4 linked regions of the Drosophila melanogaster genome follow. The protein of the gene in region 3 interacts with the protein of the main gene of each other region in a pairwise test. Each region holds a gene or a part of one and is shown on either strand. Other genes may lie near its edges. The genes, in order: ced-6, CG10589, Cyp9f2 and CG14325.

Region 1 (4,867 bases), on a different chromosome or scaffold from region 3:
GGAAAGGCGTAATATGGCACAGCGGCCACCAATGGGTTAATGGCCCAAAGAAACCCCCAACAACGTGAAAACAAAACGCAACGCAAAGCGAAACACAACAAAACAAAAACTAATTGGAAAACCAATATCGAGGAGAGCACGACTATCAGGTCGAAAATCGGGAGATACGTGGGCTACAGCACAGATATAACTTACATATATGCATGTAGAAGAGGGATGGGTGATAGGGGTAGGGGGAGTTGGGGCTAACTTACTTTGGAGTTTCAGTGTGGAAGTTGAATTAGAAGTAGAAGAGGACGAAGCGCTGGTGGAAATATCGGGCACATTTTCCATGTGCACAGCTTTAACAACCAATTTTAGAATGCACTACTCTCTTAGCGGTTGGCACATTTATTTCGCTTTATTGAGAATGCATTTTCATTTTTGCACACCAGCTCGCACGCACACACACACAGGTGACATGGGCGCTCGCACACGCACACAGCGACACCGAAATCGCAGAACTCTGGGATATCGAAAAAAGGTAAACAAAACTTTTTCACTGCCTCCCTGTGCGCAAGCCGTGGAGTCCCTTGGCGGATTTCGATGTGCTTCAGCTGGACGATGCATAAAATGCAACAAAAATCAATAATATCACCGTTTCACACACGAAATTATTAAAAAAAAACGATAGCGAAAATATTTTGAGCTACTCCAAAACTGTGTGCATGTCAAACTGTCAAACATATGACGGCAAAGTTGCCAGATGTTGCAAAGGGCGAGCTCCCACAAAACTTAACGACAATGATTTCGAATTTTTTAAAATTGATAACTTATTATACAAGAAAGCAAGAATACTTTACAAGCCAATAACCTTGTAATCTTAACCTTACAAGTCTATGTTTGATATAAATTAGTTTAAACTATATCTAACCATCTGGCAGCACCCCAAGTGTTCCACTTATCGGCTTATCGGTCAAGATGACAACTCCAACATTCAATTATCGGAAATCGGGCACTATATTTAAAATATCGTATTGAATTTCAAATCCGGGTTTTGTTAGTCATTTTTTATACGTTTTATAATTATTTTCTTTCTGTTGAATTTTAAACTCCGATGTATCCCGCCGTGTCCGCTGTTTACCGCCGACGTCCAGCTGACGGTTCCACCCTTCTTTAACTTACATATGTATATGTACATTTCAACGAATCTAGTATACCCTTTCAGTCTACGAAAATTTTAATCTTAGTTCAATCAAATGATGTATATTAGTATATAGGTACATAGTCGATGGCCTCGGTTATATTATCTTAAATAAATAAATAATGAAGGATTGATGAATTTATAATGCATATTTGTCTTAAAAACGCTGAGATTGGTTTGCTTGGACGTGAGCAGGAAGTTCTATTCCTGCGACTTTTGTTAGAACCCAAGGAAAATATTACATACCATTCTAGTTCTTAGCTTAGTTCAATCATAAAGTTATATGTCAAAATCCTTTAAGAGGAGCATGCAAATGGGAAGTAAAATGGGCGTAAAATGTAAATGACATTTTGTGTAATTCGCATATGTACATTTGTATATTGTAAGCTATCAAAATATATGTATGTTTGTATGTATGTACAGCCCTTGAGACCGCCCATCATTGATAGGCAACGACTTTCGCCGAACTTTCCTTGGATTTTTCCAGCAGCCGACCCCGCGGTTTTCCGACCCCGCCTCGCTTCCCTCCGCTTCCCGCGACCAGCGGAAGTCTCGGGGCTCTGGCTCTATCAAAATCAACGGGCGGGGCGACTGAAGCGAACACAGAATAATTGCCATAGCTGTGTGCCAGTGCCAGTCAGTGCCAGCAGTTTGAAATCGACGACAACATCAGCAGCAACAAGCATTGCAACAACAGCGACGGCGCGGTGATAAGTCGGCTGCTGGCTGTATATTGCCGCTGGCTTGTTATTTTATTGTCGCTTTTGTTGCACATTGAAAATAATACACAAAATAATTGAATTACTCGAAATGTGTGCATGTCCGTGTGCGTGCCACTTGTGTATGTATGTGTGTGTGTCGTGCCTTTATGGGGGCGTTCAGGGCCCCGCTGATAAGCGATGATCAAGAGGTAAACGAGATAAGCGCTGCTCATTTGGAAGCACAGGCAACACGCGCTAAATGAACCCGCCAACTTGATAATCCGCGATCCCAGAAAACAAAATATTTGTCTTCTGAATTATCTTGTAATGATAATTTGACAGTTATTGTATATTAAGAAGGTCAATGTTTACTTATGGGAAGCATAATAAAGCTGAAATTAGAATTTTATGTTTATATCTATAGTTAGGATAATATGATATTCTCTCAATATTGCTACATTACATTGCTGGCTATAATTTAGGCATTGGAATTAATCCGAATCGCGTTGCTTGTTTGATTTGCAGCTTTGAGTTTCTTATTTACATATGTATATGCATTTTGTGGCACTTTGACAGTACTCCCCACTTTTGATTTCCTACAGTGTTCCCCGTGCTCGTCGACATGTGATAAGGAGCGTGAGGTGGAAACGTGACTCTCGGCGGGGCGGGCATCGGCACGTAAATTATGCTGATGACACCGGCTCCGCACCCAGGCTCTGAAAAAGCTGAAAAGCCCGAAAAACTGAGCGAGCGATTGCGCTTGAAAAATACCAGCACGTTCCTACGAGCTGCAAAGCAACAAGAATAACTGGCTTCGGCTGCCATTTTATTGCAGCGCACAAATATTTACAATACCATTTAATGACATTTCGCCTTATAAAACAATGAGTGAGAAACGTATTTTCTGGTTTCATGCATTTTATTTGGCTAATTGGGCCTTTGAACTCTATTGCTTTGATGATGAAAACGACGCCAAGATAACGTCATGTGCGACGAAACAAGCATTCGAAGTCACGCCCCCTCAGGACTCCCCTCAGCGCGCCCAACGAGCATACGCAGTCAACGCCCCTTGGCGACGATAACAATTCAAAAGAGACCCCGATCAAAATGCAATAGCGAGTTTTTAAAAGCCATTATTACTTGCAAATGGGGGGCAGATCGAACGCCCCCTCAATAAGTGCACATTGAACCATGTTGTTGGTGCCAGTTTCGCTGAGCCCTTCTAGGTTCTCCGTAGTACGAAAAATATCTATGTACTTATGTATAAAGCCAAGTCTCGTAGACATTTCTTCCAAGAAACACAATGTCGTTAAACAAACCTTTTAAAAATCCACATATGACTTCATTAGTTTGTTGCAAGCTTATGAATACATTCAATGTAGTTTTAATGAGTGGAAGCGGTTTAACTAGCAAGGTTGCAGTTTGAAAAGCCCAAAAATAGCGTTGCCCTTTGTTGCATAGGTCACCCTGTTGCTCCACGGAAAATCTCTCAATGAAAAGCCGTTCGGAGTCTTCCTTTTGGCCGGCGGAAAGGAAACTGGTAATAAAATTACAGCGGGAGAGAAAATAATAGCTGCAATATCTGCTGTCGGCGGCGCAGCTAGCGGCCTCTAACTGTAAATGGCCAATATTAAGCGGAGAGAAAAGCCGAAACAGGAGCTTAAAAGTCCGGCGAAGAGATAAAGAGAGAGAGATCGCGGTGACAGAGAGCGGGTGTGGGAAAATTGTACGTATGCCCAGATGCAGCGAAACGACAAGGAGAGTACTGTGGGCCAAACAAAGTTAAAATTCCCTGGGCCAGGAGGAATGCCTGAAATGATCTTATTAGTAAAGTTTTCCGTACAGAAACTTACTTGATCTTTAAAAAGCTGTTTATTCCCGTTTAAGGGTTTCAACCTCATTTACAGCCTTTAATATCGTTTACCTAGAAACCGAACAGCTATTAAATATTAAGTACCATAAGCTATTTGTGGTTTTCAGGCTTTCACGCCAATTTATTTTGCTAAACGGCTTTTGCATTCCACAGTGCCTGCATCCAAACTGAAACTACAATTGCAGTGGCCCCACACACACACATACCCTCATCACGCACACTCCTTTATGTCAAGCCGGTTTTATTTTGGTTAGTGAAGAGAGAGGGGCGGTTAAAGGGGAAGGGACTGCAGTTAAAATGTGGCAAAATGGAAAAGGAAAATGTGTACTAGAAAAATGCAAGGCATGCCACCAAACAATAACAACACCACTGCAGCATCGAAAGCAACAATTGGACACCGAATAACGACAACAATAATCAAATCCTGGTACATTATTATATGGTCGACTTGGGGAACCAGTTTTATTGCAATTTGTATTTGAAGCGGCCAAACAGCCCCAGAAATTACGTATTACGAAAATAAATAAATTTTTCTCTAAGCTGCTTCTGCTTCTTCGTCTTGTGCGGCTAATAACAAAAACAACGGCAATGCTGTGTCTTTGTTTTTACGTCAGGTCGAGATTACAAGCATACATATAGCTATAAGCAGGTTACATGTGTGTGAGCGCACTTCCCCCACCTGTTGCAGTAATTTTAATTGGCCAAAACCATTTCGGTGGAATCTCGAGACAGTGCCGTATGTTCTGGCATTTGTGGAAAATCATTTTTCTGGCAAAATGTAAAACAATTGAAAAGCAACAGGTAAACCAGCAGAAATACCCACACACACACATGCGGGCATTACTAAGCAGACATATGTTTGTGTGGCAGTGAGGCTCCAACCGCAAAAGAGAAAACTACAGCCGATCACGTTCTCACCTACACAAAACTCGTAGGTCATTTTGCTGGGGCACAACGACTTCAAGTGCATATGCCCTCATATTAGCTAAAAAATAAATCCTTTAATTTTCGGTAATATTCGGTTTTTTTTTTAAATCAACAAGCATTAAAATGAATAGTTCAATTTTTATATTATTTTTAAATGAACTTAAAATAAATTTTTAGTATAGC
Region 2 (3,617 bases), on a different chromosome or scaffold from region 3:
AATGTACTTGGCAAGTCGAAGAAGATGATACTCTACACATGTACAGAAATATACATTTCTTTTGAACCATTTATTGGTTTTAGCTTCTAGTAGTTACCCTTAATATCCATTCAATGTAAGTCCTTATTTTAACAGATACCTGTCCGCTAGATATCCACAATATTGCAGCCAAAATTTAAGCAGAAAGCGTACTAAATCTGATTACCCGGAATTGCAGTGTATAAATTTCTCTTTATCGAGCCTCCCCTTTGCGGAATCCAAGTAAATTCCCGCGTTACCAATATCATCTTTAAGGGGATCCCCTCAACGAAAGGGGAACTGCACCCATAGCGAAGCCTACGATAATGATGGTCAGCGCGGACCTTTCAGCTGCCGCTTAATGCCATCATTAGTCCACCGTGGGCTACCGGATATGGCTGATCGTTTGTCACTATAAAAACTGCAGCTGCACTCTGGGCTTTGCAGACATAGCTCTTACCTTCAACCCGGGTAATTGCAATCTAAATTAGTGCACTTTTTATATGCGGCTTAACGGACACAGCCTTGAGTTGTATTCTTTATTGCGGAAACTAATCGATTTGGATGGCGACTAGCTGTAAGTTATACTGGGTAGTGGTCCTGACCGGATATACAGGAATTACGAACGCCATAGATGGCGTCATTAGCTTCGGGCAACTTGCAGACTTTGCCAGAGGCAGGACGAGCAAGACGTTGGGAGAGGACACTCAGATCAAGGTTGTTTACTCGCACCATTAGGGTAGGTTCCTTCTCCACAGATCTACAGACCACGATCTTCTGACAATTTACCGGTGATCCGGTTAACTTGGGAGGCAGGTGCCTGACCGGAGCGTCCGGGAATAGTCCCATGGTTTGAGGACCGACGTCGACACCCACTTTGGGACTATTACAGGATAGACAAGATAGCCCCGTATTGATAAATCCAGCGGCCCTGGGACATGCATCCTTATCCTCAATCAATCTCAGCCGGCGATCTATATCATCGAAGCGATCGCGTATATACTTCTTAAGAGCAGGCATATGCACCTTATCCAGCTTGCTGTCGAGCATATCCTGCAGTTCCTCCATGGTTCCCAGAAAAGTAAGGTTGTATTCCTGAACAAGAGTCCTCAGACCTTCGATCTCCACCACACATTGCTTGACTATTTCCAAACGATTAAATAAAGCTTCGGTTTGCTTAAGAAAAGCCTCAAGTGTGAGGTAGAACTTCTCCAGCTTGTGGCTGACCTCTTCCATTCGGTCCAGAATGGGTGTGGCTATACGTCGCATTAGCTTTTTCATGAAGTCCATGTTGGCCAGCAGACTGCATGCGATCTTGTTGTCCTCATCGCAAACGGTGCACAGATCCTCGCAAGGAGAGGCGTACTGTTCGGCCTGGTTGATCTTGTACTTCTTGTCCTTGGCCTTGTTGCAAATGCGAATCTGCTGAAAGTGACACTCCAACTTGCACTCCAGCTGCTTGATGCGTTTGTCCAACTCTTGAACTTTATCCAATTGCTCGGAAATTGGAACAATAGCCTCCACGTCGAAGGGCAGTGGAGATATTTTGGATTGCTCGAGAATGCGCTCCATACACTTGCCCTCGAAGCCACTTATCCTTACCATATCATTCTGACAGTTCAGTTTCTTGAGAAGGACATTCAAAAGACTTTGGAGTACAGCCACATTTACGTGGGTTAACTCGGGCACACCCAAAGCAATCCTGGTCATTTCCTCTAGGGTTAAATCCAAATGAGCTGGCATTTTTGCACGTTTTTAATTGTTCAAATATAGTAAAAGAAATATAAGAATTTTAGTTTGAGTGAACTCGAATTCGAATGTGTTTAACTCTGATACTGTTTTCCAGGTGGTTCTGTCACTTCGACGATGACAACTATGTCAATGTGCCGAGGCTGGTCAAACTGCTGGACGAGTATAGCCCCAGTGTGGATTGGTATCTGGGCAAGCCGAGCATCTCGTCGCCGCTGGAGATCCACTTGGACAGCGTAAGTGCAAATGCCAGTTATTTTTGCATATTTTCCTATATAGTTCGTAATTACAAGCCTGACTGCGATCGCCTTTCTCCATCTTCTGGCCCGGCCCAAAAGCCGAACCGTGGCCGTTATTTATGTTACCACCAGGGCCATTTGTCTATGCCGCCATTTGGCTTCCAGCTGCCAGCGCAAGCTATCATTAATAACCGATATGATCTGGCGCGGCAAAAGAGTAACAGCAATAGCAATAGCAATAGCAATAGCAGCAGCAGTCTGTATACGAGTCCCAGTTTGAGTCCGAATTTGAACCCGTTTTTCAGTCCGATCCATTTGATATACCGCGAGCTGATCCCGTAATGAATGTACAGGCCATAGTTTTATCGGTTTAGCCAGGTTTGCCAGGGATGTGAGCAAAAGCAACCAGGTAAACTGCGTGCTCAGAAATCCATTCAAAATCTGGCACACCAAACCAATCCAGCCCTGATCGCTGCAGCGTGCATAATTAAAAACCCCAAACTTTACGCTTCATTTGCGGGAGAAAGATCCTGTCGAGTCTCGGCTTACTTTTGGTCCAGACCCATGTATTAAGTTTCCAGCTCGCACATGTCCATTTACATGGTCAATTAATCAAGCCACGTTTCGGTATTAAGCTTCTTTTTCGGTTTTCATTTCGAGTCAATTTTCTCTGGGCCATTGCCAAAAACCAGAAATAAGACGAAGATAAAAAAAAGGATATTTATTTGGGTTTAGCCTTTGGTTTAGTCATCCTCTTTTTTTGGGCTACCCATTCATGAACCAGTTCTTCCGTTAATCTTGGCCCTCTTCTCCACTTTCTTTCGACCTGCAGAAGAACACGACAACAAACAAGAAGATAACCTTCTGGTTCGCCACTGGCGGCGCTGGCTTCTGCCTCAGTCGAGCCCTGACTTTAAAAATGCTACCCATAGCAGGTGGTGGCAAGTTTATCAGCATTGGCGACAAGATACGTTTTCCGGATGATGTCACAATGGGTTTTATTATTGGTGAGTTTGTGCGGAGTAAGCCAAAGTGACCCTGAACTTATATATATATTATTTTATATACAGAACACCTTCTGAAAGTTCCTCTAACCGTGGTGGACAACTTCCACTCGCATTTGGAGCCCATGGAGTTCATACGCCAGGATACGTTCCAGGACCAGGTGTCCTTCAGCTATGCCCACATGAAAAACCAGTGGAACGTGATCAAGGTGGACGGCTTCGATATGAAAACCGATCCCAAGCGCTTCTACTCCCTGCACTGCCAGCTTTTCCCCTACTTCAGCTTCTGCCCGCCCAGATGAACTGGTTGATCCCGATCCGAGGTCCCTGGGGATCCTATTTGGCTGTTGCAGGCGCACGTCTGCACTGGGTCGGTTGTGAACCGCTGGGGCAGGCGTCAAAATCAAATCTCGCCACTGTGATTTAACATTAAGTTTATAGTATACGAGCAACGAAAGGTTCTTTGTATATATATATGTAGCAATACGCTGGACAGATGTGCTTCCTAATGGTATAAGTAATACTGTAGCTGTAGGTCTTGCAATTCCAACACTTCCAAGTGCTTCCCTATAGCGTTACACGCGATTCTTCCAATCGGCTTAGTGCG
Region 3 (5,108 bases):
TGGCAGGACTCCGCCGGATCCGGGCATCTTGTCGCTTTCGTTGAGGATGGTCTTCGCCGTGGAGAGCAGTGCAACGCAAGTGGATCCATAGCCGGGATTGGGACCCGTAACCCTCACGGTCAGTGTCTTTGTGGGCGGAGAGGTGTACTGATCGGTGGTCTCGGCTAGTTTTTCGGACTTGGGCCAGCCTGTGGCCTTCATGGTCATTCTGAAGAAGGAGCGCTCCATCCGCGCCTCACTGGGACCCTCGCGGGAAGCCATGCCGCCGGAGAAGACGGTGGGGTACTTAAGCAGCAGCTGGCGGCCAAAGGAGAACTTGGCCATAATGCCAATGATAGAGGCGAAGAGCACGACAACGCTGGCCGCAAACCATGAGGGATACGTCATGTAGGCCTGCATCTGAACGGGTCGCTTCTTCTCCAGTTCGTAAAGGAAACGCTGCGAGCGCATCACCACCGAGCGATCTGTTTCAGGGAACGGCAGGATCACCTTGTTGTCCACTTCCGCGGCACGGGAAAGCGGCGATCGTGACTTAAGAGCCGGATGAAAGTTGGGCAGACGCTCGGGAAACAACTTGCGCCGGATGGCCACAGACTCGCTCCGGTTGGCGATAGCGTGAATGGCGCTCTCCCAGGTGCCGGTGTTGAGTGCAGCACTGCCCGTTCCCTTGGTACCTCCCTTGACGCCCAGATGGACAAAGTTCTCCACTGAGTTGACCACGCCGTCGAAGTTCTTCTCCACGAAGGTGACTCCCATGTCGGCGGGAATGGAATCAAAGCCGCACGCACTGATCACGTACACGCCACGCTCCTTGGCGAGATCATGGTAGCGCAGCTGCATGGTTTCCATGTACTGTGGCTCTCCGCTTACGTCTACGTGATGCGTTCCCGCCTCGATGCAAGCCCTGACCACTCGCTCGCCGAAGAACCGATATGGTCCGGCCGTATTGACTAAAATGCGGCAGCGTTTGGCCATCTCTAGCAGTGACGCCTCGTTGTTCACGTCCGCGATGACGATCGGCGTTTGGGAGAGGTCTGTCTTGGACTTTGCACCCATCTCCCGCAGCACCGACTGCAGCTTCTCCTGGTTGCGTCCGGCGATGCCCCATTGCAGGCCCTTCAGCACGCTGACAGCCTCGAAGACGGTGTACTTTCCGGTAAACCCGGAGGCACCGAAGATTATGGCATCCAGTTTCTTAGCCGCCATTCCAGAGTCCACAGATATGCGACTATAATGATTTGACTAGAAATGTCTTATCACTTCCAGACCGAAAGGTAATTCGTCTGCTTCGGCCGACTGGCGAAATGTTAATAATGCTAATCGCACCGTATAAGAGCTGTATTTATTGAAGATAGTAGCGTCGTGACTGTACAAAACTGAATCGAACAGGTAAAGATCGATTGCAGATAGCAACAAGTGGCTAGTAACTCGGATAATGAAGTTGAAATGAAATAAAATATTTTTACTAGAAACTATTGAAAATGAAAATGCTTTGCGTCCTTTTTTATCGATGATAATTTAATTTATGGTGATGATGGTTTAATTTACATCCTAATACTTAAAATCCCTCAGATCAAATTGTTAGTTCTCGAACTACTACGCATAAACTTCGATAGCCAACAAGAAATCGATGAATTTTAAAACGATAAATTGGCCAAGTTTAAATATATGAATTTAATGAAGTTGTGTGCCATTAAAATAGAAAAAATATATATTAAAGAATTAGAAAACAGAATTTCGAAATATTCTGTTTCTATATTTTAAACATAATATTGGTATGCTCAGAGTCGTCAGCATTTTCTCCAACACGCCGTGATAATGAAATGATGAGTGATATTCTAAATCATTTGCGCTCAGAAATTTGTACATACTTGTGTGTATTACAGACAACAAGTATTTTATCAAATGCAGTACACGAAGCTTTGTTAGAAAGCTCTGCGTGGGGACAACAAAACGCTCCCGATTGTTTGTGGCGTAGTTAGTTATATTCTGGACGCTTAGATCGCCAAGCTAGGGTCAACATGTTGTGGGAGTTCTTCGCCCTATTTGCGATCGCTGCCGCCTTGTTCTACCGTTGGGCGTCCGCCAACAATGATTTCTTCAAGGATAGGGGCATCGCCTATGAAAAGCCAGTGCTCTACTTTGGCAACATGGCCGGCATGTTCCTGCGGAAGAGGGCCATGTTTGACATAGTCTGTGATCTCTACACCAAAGGCGGAAGTAAGAAGTGAGTTAAATTCATTGATCCGGATTTAATAAGTTGATTACCTAATATGCATCCGGCTCACTTGCACTTGCACTTAAAACACGTTTGGAACAAGTGTGTATCTACTGGCCTCCAGCATTGCGTACAAGCCTATATAAAATCGTATGTCAAGGTCAGGCAATCAGTGATCTATCTATACACACATTTAGTGGGTGCGGCTGCGTTCGACTACGTTTTGAATATACAATTACAGAAATTCAGAAATACTCTATTATATTTTGTTAAGTCTTTTATCTAAAGCAGTGTGTAACTGCCAAGATAATTGGCGAAATGCTTGGTTCTATTAGTTTAGTTTGCCATAATCTTATCGATTATACGACAGCTTTAAATGTTGTTTGTCTCGGACGGCAAACTTGATAGGAAAAATAATTGATAAAGCTCCTGAAAAGTGCTATAACGATAAGGTTATCTAATTTATTAATTAACTTCATATTGGGGCAACTCTTTGTATGACTTTACCCTTTTTGTTACTTTATAAACATGCAATCATTATTGTACTCAGCCTTTTCAATTGGATTTAATGTACATATGATTTATTTATAGACCAATACGAGAAATCCGCTTTATAAATTTATAGTTTTCCAAAAAGAAATCGAGATGGGTTAATTGAAAATTCGTCGGATAGGTAATGAACAACGCTAGCCATGCATAAACTCGAATTTCTGTTATCGTTTTCTAAACTTGTTGAGCGCACGATTAATAATTTCTGATTTGATTTATCAGTGTGTGACTCACAAAAAGCTTATCGGTCATTAACATTATTATTTTTTTTAGATTTTTTGGTATCTTTGAGCAGCGACAACCACTTTTAATGGTGCGCGACCCAGATCTTATCAAGCAGATAACCATAAAGGACTTCGATCACTTTATCAATCATCGCAATGTGTTTGCCACCAGCAGCGATGATGATCCACATGACATGAGTAACCTTTTCGGCAGCTCGCTGTTCTCCATGCGAGATGCTCGGTGGAAGGATATGCGAAGCACTCTGAGTCCGGCATTTACAGGCAGCAAAATGCGTCAGATGTTCCAGCTGATGAACCAGGTGGCCAAGGAGGCCGTGGACTGTCTTAAGCAGGATGATTCAAGGGTTCAGGAGAATGAACTGGACATGAAGGACTACTGCACACGATTCACCAATGATGTGATCGCCTCGACAGCCTTTGGACTGCAAGTGAACTCGTTCAAGGATCGCGAAAATACCTTCTATCAGATGGGAAAAAAGCTGACCACATTTACATTCCTGCAGAGCATGAAGTTCATGTTGTTCTTCGCATTGAAGGGTCTTAATAAGGTTGGCACAGCATACACACATATCAAAAAAATATATTCCTTAATTTTAATAATCCTTGTAGATCCTTAAGGTCGAGCTTTTCGATAGGAAAAGCACTCAGTATTTCGTGCGTCTGGTGCTCGATGCTATGAAATACCGACAGGAGCACAATATTGTACGTCCCGACATGATAAACATGCTGATGGAGGCTCGTGGTATCATCCAGACGGAGAAGACCAAGGCATCTGCCGTTCGCGAGTGGAGCGATCGCGACATTGTCGCCCAGTGTTTCGTGTTCTTCTTTGCTGGCTTCGAGACTTCGGCGGTGCTGATGTGCTTCACCGCTCACGAGCTAATGGAGAACCAGGATGTGCAGCAGAGGCTATACGAGGAGGTACAGCAAGTGGACCAAGACCTGGAGGGCAAAGAACTGACCTATGAGGCAATTATGGGCATGAAGTATCTGGATCAGGTCGTCAACGAGGTTCTGCGAAAGTGGCCGGCGGCAATTGCCGTCGATCGAGAATGCAACAAGGATATCACCTTCGATGTGGATGGCCAGAAAGTCGAGGTCAAGAAGGGCGATGTCATCTGGCTGCCTACATGCGGCTTCCATCGTGATCCCAAGTACTTTGAGAACCCTATGAAGTTCGATCCGGAACGTTTTAGCGATGAGAACAAGGAGTCTATTCAGCCATTCACATACTTCCCCTTTGGCCTGGGTCAACGCAACTGCATTGGTAAGTTGATTGATTCAAAATTGTTCTTCGAAAAAATGTAAAATGTATTTATTATAGGTTCCCGATTCGCTCTACTTGAAGCAAAGGCTGTTATCTACTATCTTTTGAAGGACTACCGCTTTGCCCCTGCCAAGAAATCCTGCATTCCACTAGAGCTCATTACTTCCGGTTTTCAGTTGTCACCCAAAGGCGGCTTTTGGATTAAACTTGTTCAAAGGAACTAATCTTATAAACGATCAAAATAATAATATGTTTTGTTGAATGTTATGTTTTAAAGAAGTTGACATTATTAAATTTAAACAATTAATGGTAATTTGTTTCTTTGTTTTTAATTTATACCAAAAATGATAAAAAGATAGCATATACTTATGTCGTGACTCTACAAAACTGAATCGAACAGGTAAAGATCGATTGCAGATAACAACGAGTGGCTCGTTTACACGGTAACTCTGATAATGAAGTTGAAATTAAATAAATAATTTTTACCAGAAACTATTGAAAATGAAAATGCTTGGCGGAGTTTTTATCGATGATATCACGTTTAATTTACATCCTAATACTTAAAATCCCTCAACTTAAATTGTTAGTTCTTGAACTACTACGCATAAACTTCGATAGCCAACATGAAATCGATTGCTTTTAAAACGATAATTTGGCCAAGATTAAATATTTAAATTTAATGAAGTTGTGTGCCATTAAAATAGAAAAAAATTATTAAAATTTATTAAAGAATTAGAAAACAAAATTTCGAAATATTTTGTCTCTATATTTTAAACATAAGATTGGTATGCTTTATAAGTGCATAAGATACATGCAATTAATTTGTTTA
Region 4 (4,236 bases), 5.2 Mb from region 3:
ATGTCAGGCTTCAGGAAACCCAAAGAGCGGAGCGGCAACCGCCCAATGCGGAGTAAGGGTCGGTGATGATCTTGCCAATGCTCGAGCCGGAGTATTCGCCTCCACTCCAGGCGCTGGGGGTCCGGTCACCAAGGGAGTTTATGGAGCGGTCAACGCGTAAGTCCAGTAAAAGTTCTTAAAAATGCTAAAATAAATATTATAATTTTGTAAACTTTCTTCTCTTCATCCCACAGCAATGGTCATGCACTCTCACTGCAGCATGGCCACATCGAGGGCGTGGGCAGCACTACCACTGCCGCAGCCCAAGCCAATCTCTTCCAGAGCAATAACGCCGCTCTGAATGCCACTGCATTTCACAGTCATAGCCGATCGCACGATCAGTTTGGCGGAGGACTCAATTTGCAAACTGGAACGGGTCACCAGGCGGCAGTGGGGGTCACTAGGGTTCCTCAGTTCGGCATGACCGCCGTCCAGGCTTCTGGCACAGCAAATCTGTATACCTCTCCAAGTGGCAATCTCAACCTCAACGCCACCGGAAGTGCCAATCATCACCTCAGGGGACCGATGCGCGGCAAGTCCGATTTCGGCACCGGAGTTAACTTGCGATATAATTTTTAAATCCTTTATAGTTTTATTGAAACTATTCATAGTCACATTTAGTACTTGCACGTAGCCAAGAAAAGAAACAAGTGCCGTATTTATATGCATTATATCGAAGATTAAATAAACCATGCTATTAAAAGCGCTTTCTACTTGGTAACACGCAATATCATTGAACTCTTTAAACTCCTGTCAAAGTGCACATCGATTTCCCATATTTCATCGAGTGAAATTCTACACAATAACCGAGCCACTTGGGGAAATCCTTTGGGGTTCGAAAACCCATCTACAGACGAACGTAGACCATGAGAAACAAATTTTTGACTAGTCAGCTTTTTGGCATATTTCTTTTTTTTTTTGCACCAATGTGTGCAAGCACCGCAACCGTTAAGTGCCATAAAAATAATTCAAAATAAATTGCTTTACATAAAAATTTGGTTTCGGCAGAGCAGCGCGCCCAACTGTTTTATAAGGTGTATAATTTGGCCATAATAATGCGCATCATGGCAGCATCCATCGCGGGGTTGGTTATTAATTCTCGGTCGACGCGTCGTCGAGCCCGAGACATAAATAACGCGTTTTATGCGTGAATATACTTTGCATTTTTCGCAGACACGGCGGAGTCCTAGTTAAGCCGTAAAAATTACACCAGCCAGTCAAGAAGCCCCGCCACGACTTTGACTTCCTCGAAGGACCAAGGCAAGTCATGTCAGCTGGCCTAATCCCCAGGTAGATATCCGCCTTGATTGGCCGCAATGAAAGATGCCAAGTCAATACTTTTGATACTCCCAGGGGTCCTGTGAGGACCGGTGGGCGATGGTGAGTGGGATAAACGCTGACTTGTAATGTCATGTAATTAGGGTAATAATCGGCTTGCCACTTGAGGTTTTATCCCGCAGCCCAAAACGACTTTGTTATGCAAATCTTTCTGTTGGGAAAGCAAAGATATTCGAGGAAAATTGGAAAGCTCAAATTGACCAGACTTTAAGTCATCTTTAAATGTGATGGTTTTTGGGTAACACAATCGTATTCGGAAAGTGCTCTCACCGCAACCTTTTGTTATAGTTGAATATCAATAAAGGACCTTCGCTGGCAACCGTTTCCTGGCAGCCAAGAAGCCGAACTAATAAACAATATTCAATTTTCAACTATATGAGTAACTGGAGTTTGCATATTTTGAGAGTCTAGATTTGTTAACATGGATTTCACGTACTGCGAATTCCCCAGCACCGTTTCCATTGACACCTTCAAGGCCTATTTCAATCTCACCGATGTCAAGTTGCCCAAAGTCGGCGATAAATCAGTGGACACAATCCAGATCCCCAGCGAAGACCAGGAGGACCAGACCAATCAAGCGAAAAGTCTGCGACATCTTGTTCTCGATTCCATTGTCGAGAATTGGAGTGGTGAGCATTTAACTATAAACTTGACAAGAAATCGCAAAAATTGGAATTTAGAATTCACTTTAAAATTCCTATCACTTTAAAATTCGTTGCTTAAGATGCATGAATATGTTTGTTTTTAAAAATGATGTTTACATTTTCTAAAAGCTAGATAAAGCTTAGATATTTTTAGTTAGAAAGTAGCCAGACTGACAGTCCTTGCCGAACTGATAAGATCCAGACATTGCTCATCCGCAGAGCTGCCGCTGTACCGGCAGCTGGGCCGTCGCGAGGACCGCAACTACCTCCTTAGCCATCTGGACACGCAGCTGCCGCTGCAGCTGCTCAGCGCCCACATTCGCGAGGACTTCTTCTGGCAGCGCTGCTACGGCCACCGTTGGAGGAGCGCCCCACTTCAGGCGCGGGGCAGGGAGCGGCCCTGGATCAACATCTACATGGAGCGACATGTGCAGGAGTTTATTGAAAACATGCCGACGGGCGACTATGAGCAGGATGGCAACGTTCAGGTCGTCCTGGACATCTGTGCGGCGTACATAAATCAGTTGGAGATAAGTTTCCTTCAACCCGCCCCGCCCACAACCGATGCGAATGGTGAGTCTCGAATGGGAAACACCCTGGGTTTACTTGTTGCAATGGCATTCTTCATACTTCAAGCATTATGCTTGTCCCAACTTTGTCAAAGTTTATTTCGGAATATTTATCAAATTAGCGAGGGTATGAAATATTCGAAATTCCCCACCCATCTACAGATCACATTCCGCTTGATTACCTACTGAGCAATCTGCCGGATTTACGCCAACTGCGACTGAGTTACAGCACCAAGACGGTGGGTTGCAATTACCAAATGGGCTGCAACCAACTGACTGTCAGGGATATTCTACACTTGACCAAGGGACTCAGTCAGTGCCACGAGTTGAGGACGTTCTGGTGAGGACCGGCTGCTCCACAAAAGTGCCTTCTGCAATTCTTTTGAGTTTCAGCCTGCACAACACGAAGTTAATGCCATATCAGTTACGATTCCTGGCTCACAGTTTGGATAAAGGATGTCACCATCTGACCGAAATGTCCTTGCTGCACTGTGCAGTGGGAGATGCGGGAATCCGCTGCTTCTTGGAGACGTGCGGCAAGGAGTCCTTCGGCACTCTCACTGTCCTCGATTTGACTAATAACAAGATCAGTAAGTACATAAATAATTGGCATTTCATATCTTGCCTCATGAAGTATTTATATTCCAGCTGAAGAAGGGGCTTACATTCTTAGTCGCACCCTGAGGCATGTTCCCCTCGAGAAACTGGTGCTTCGCTTGAATCCCATTCAAAGTGACGGAGCTGCGGCCATCTTCAACACACTTCAGGTCATGCCCATCAAGGAGTTGGATCTGGGAACTTGTGGAATTACAGAAACGATTACCAAATTGTTTATGATGCTGATTTGCCAACACACGAGCCTGTTGGAAATAGATCTGTCGAATAATTCCTTGGGAGAGGACTTTGGCAAGCATTTGATGAAGATAATTAGCTGCAACAAGCTTCTTGAGAGGTTGGACCTTCGAAATACAGGTCTATCGTTAGATATGCGTAGGAAATTTCAAGAATTTCTGCTTAAAAATGTGGATCGTAAGAAGCACGAGGCCTTGAAGCAAAAGCAACGGGATAAGTTTAAGGCCATGATGCAGCTATAAATACTATTAGATATTTGTGTTTTACAACTGAACATTATGATAAATAAATATTTAGCAAAAAATAAATTCCAACTGTTTCCGCCCGGGATTGAACCGGGGGCCTTCCGCGTGTTAGGCGGATGTGATAACCACTACACCACGGAAACTCGGATGACGAACGTTTTCCTCATAGACAATTTAAGACAAGTTAGCAAATATATCTGTTATAATAAAAGCACAAAGTAATTATAAAATGTAATTATAGGAAATAATTTAAAAAGTGCACGCTTATATAGTGGTTTGCCTCTATCCCACTCTCCTCCCAATGGTATTGCAACAACTTAAGCAGCAAGCCGTGAAGCTACATACCTACCTCGAAGCTTTCAAGCCAACTTTCATTAACCCTCGACCTTGTTGACTTAAGCCAACAAAAACAATGGTAACCCCATCAAGATTGCCAAGGACCCAACTCTCTGAACCCATCTGTCCTTTTCTAATGGCCTGGGCTAGCAACAGCGACAAAAACAACAACCAACTAAGTGGAAACACTTGAAAATGAGTTGGAAAAAAGGT

The links.
Region 1: the proteins of Cyp9f2 (region 3) and ced-6 interact in a two-hybrid assay, tested with the Drosophila melanogaster proteins (one large-scale study listed by BioGRID).
Region 2: the proteins of Cyp9f2 (region 3) and CG10589 interact in a two-hybrid assay, tested with the Drosophila melanogaster proteins (one large-scale study listed by BioGRID).
Region 4: the proteins of Cyp9f2 (region 3) and CG14325 interact in a two-hybrid assay, tested with the Drosophila melanogaster proteins (one large-scale study listed by BioGRID).

The regions. Positions count from the first base shown.
Region 1 is NT_033778.4:9,441,899-9,446,765, reverse strand, and holds the start of ced-6 (ced-6), read left to right. Parts: upstream 1-1,828; 5' UTR 1,829-2,082; coding exon 2,083-2,093; intron 2,094-4,867. Other genes in the region: Camta (Calmodulin-binding transcription activator), read right to left, coding at 255-333. UniProt on the Drosophila melanogaster protein: Plays a role in axon pruning in larval mushroom body neurons during metamorphosis. Plays a role in the infiltration of glial cell processes into mushroom body lobes and the subsequent engulfment of degenerating axon branches.
Region 2 is NT_037436.4:20,926,095-20,929,711, reverse strand, and holds CG10589 (uncharacterized protein), read right to left. Parts: upstream 1,865-3,617; 5' UTR 1,762-1,864; coding exon 601-1,761; 3' UTR 522-600; downstream 1-521. Other genes in the region: fng (fringe), read left to right, coding at 1,865-2,003, 2,839-3,013, 3,077-3,312.
Region 3 is NT_033777.3:12,402,822-12,407,929, reverse strand, and holds Cyp9f2 (cytochrome P450 9f2), read left to right. Parts: upstream 1-1,901; 5' UTR 1,902-2,021; coding exon 2,022-2,227; intron 2,228-3,040; coding exon 3,041-3,560; intron 3,561-3,621; coding exon 3,622-4,279; intron 4,280-4,336; coding exon 4,337-4,503; 3' UTR 4,504-4,590; downstream 4,591-5,108. Other genes in the region: CG5167 (uncharacterized protein), read right to left, coding at 1-1,206; Sol1, read right to left, coding at 5,050-5,108. UniProt on the Drosophila melanogaster protein: May be involved in the metabolism of insect hormones and in the breakdown of synthetic insecticides.
Region 4 is NT_033777.3:17,625,329-17,629,564, forward strand, and holds CG14325 (uncharacterized protein), read left to right. Parts: upstream 1-1,798; coding exon 1,799-2,006; intron 2,007-2,240; coding exon 2,241-2,594; intron 2,595-2,752; coding exon 2,753-2,930; intron 2,931-2,983; coding exon 2,984-3,180; intron 3,181-3,238; coding exon 3,239-3,684; downstream 3,685-4,236. Other genes in the region: AttD (Attacin-D), read left to right, coding at 1-156, 234-618.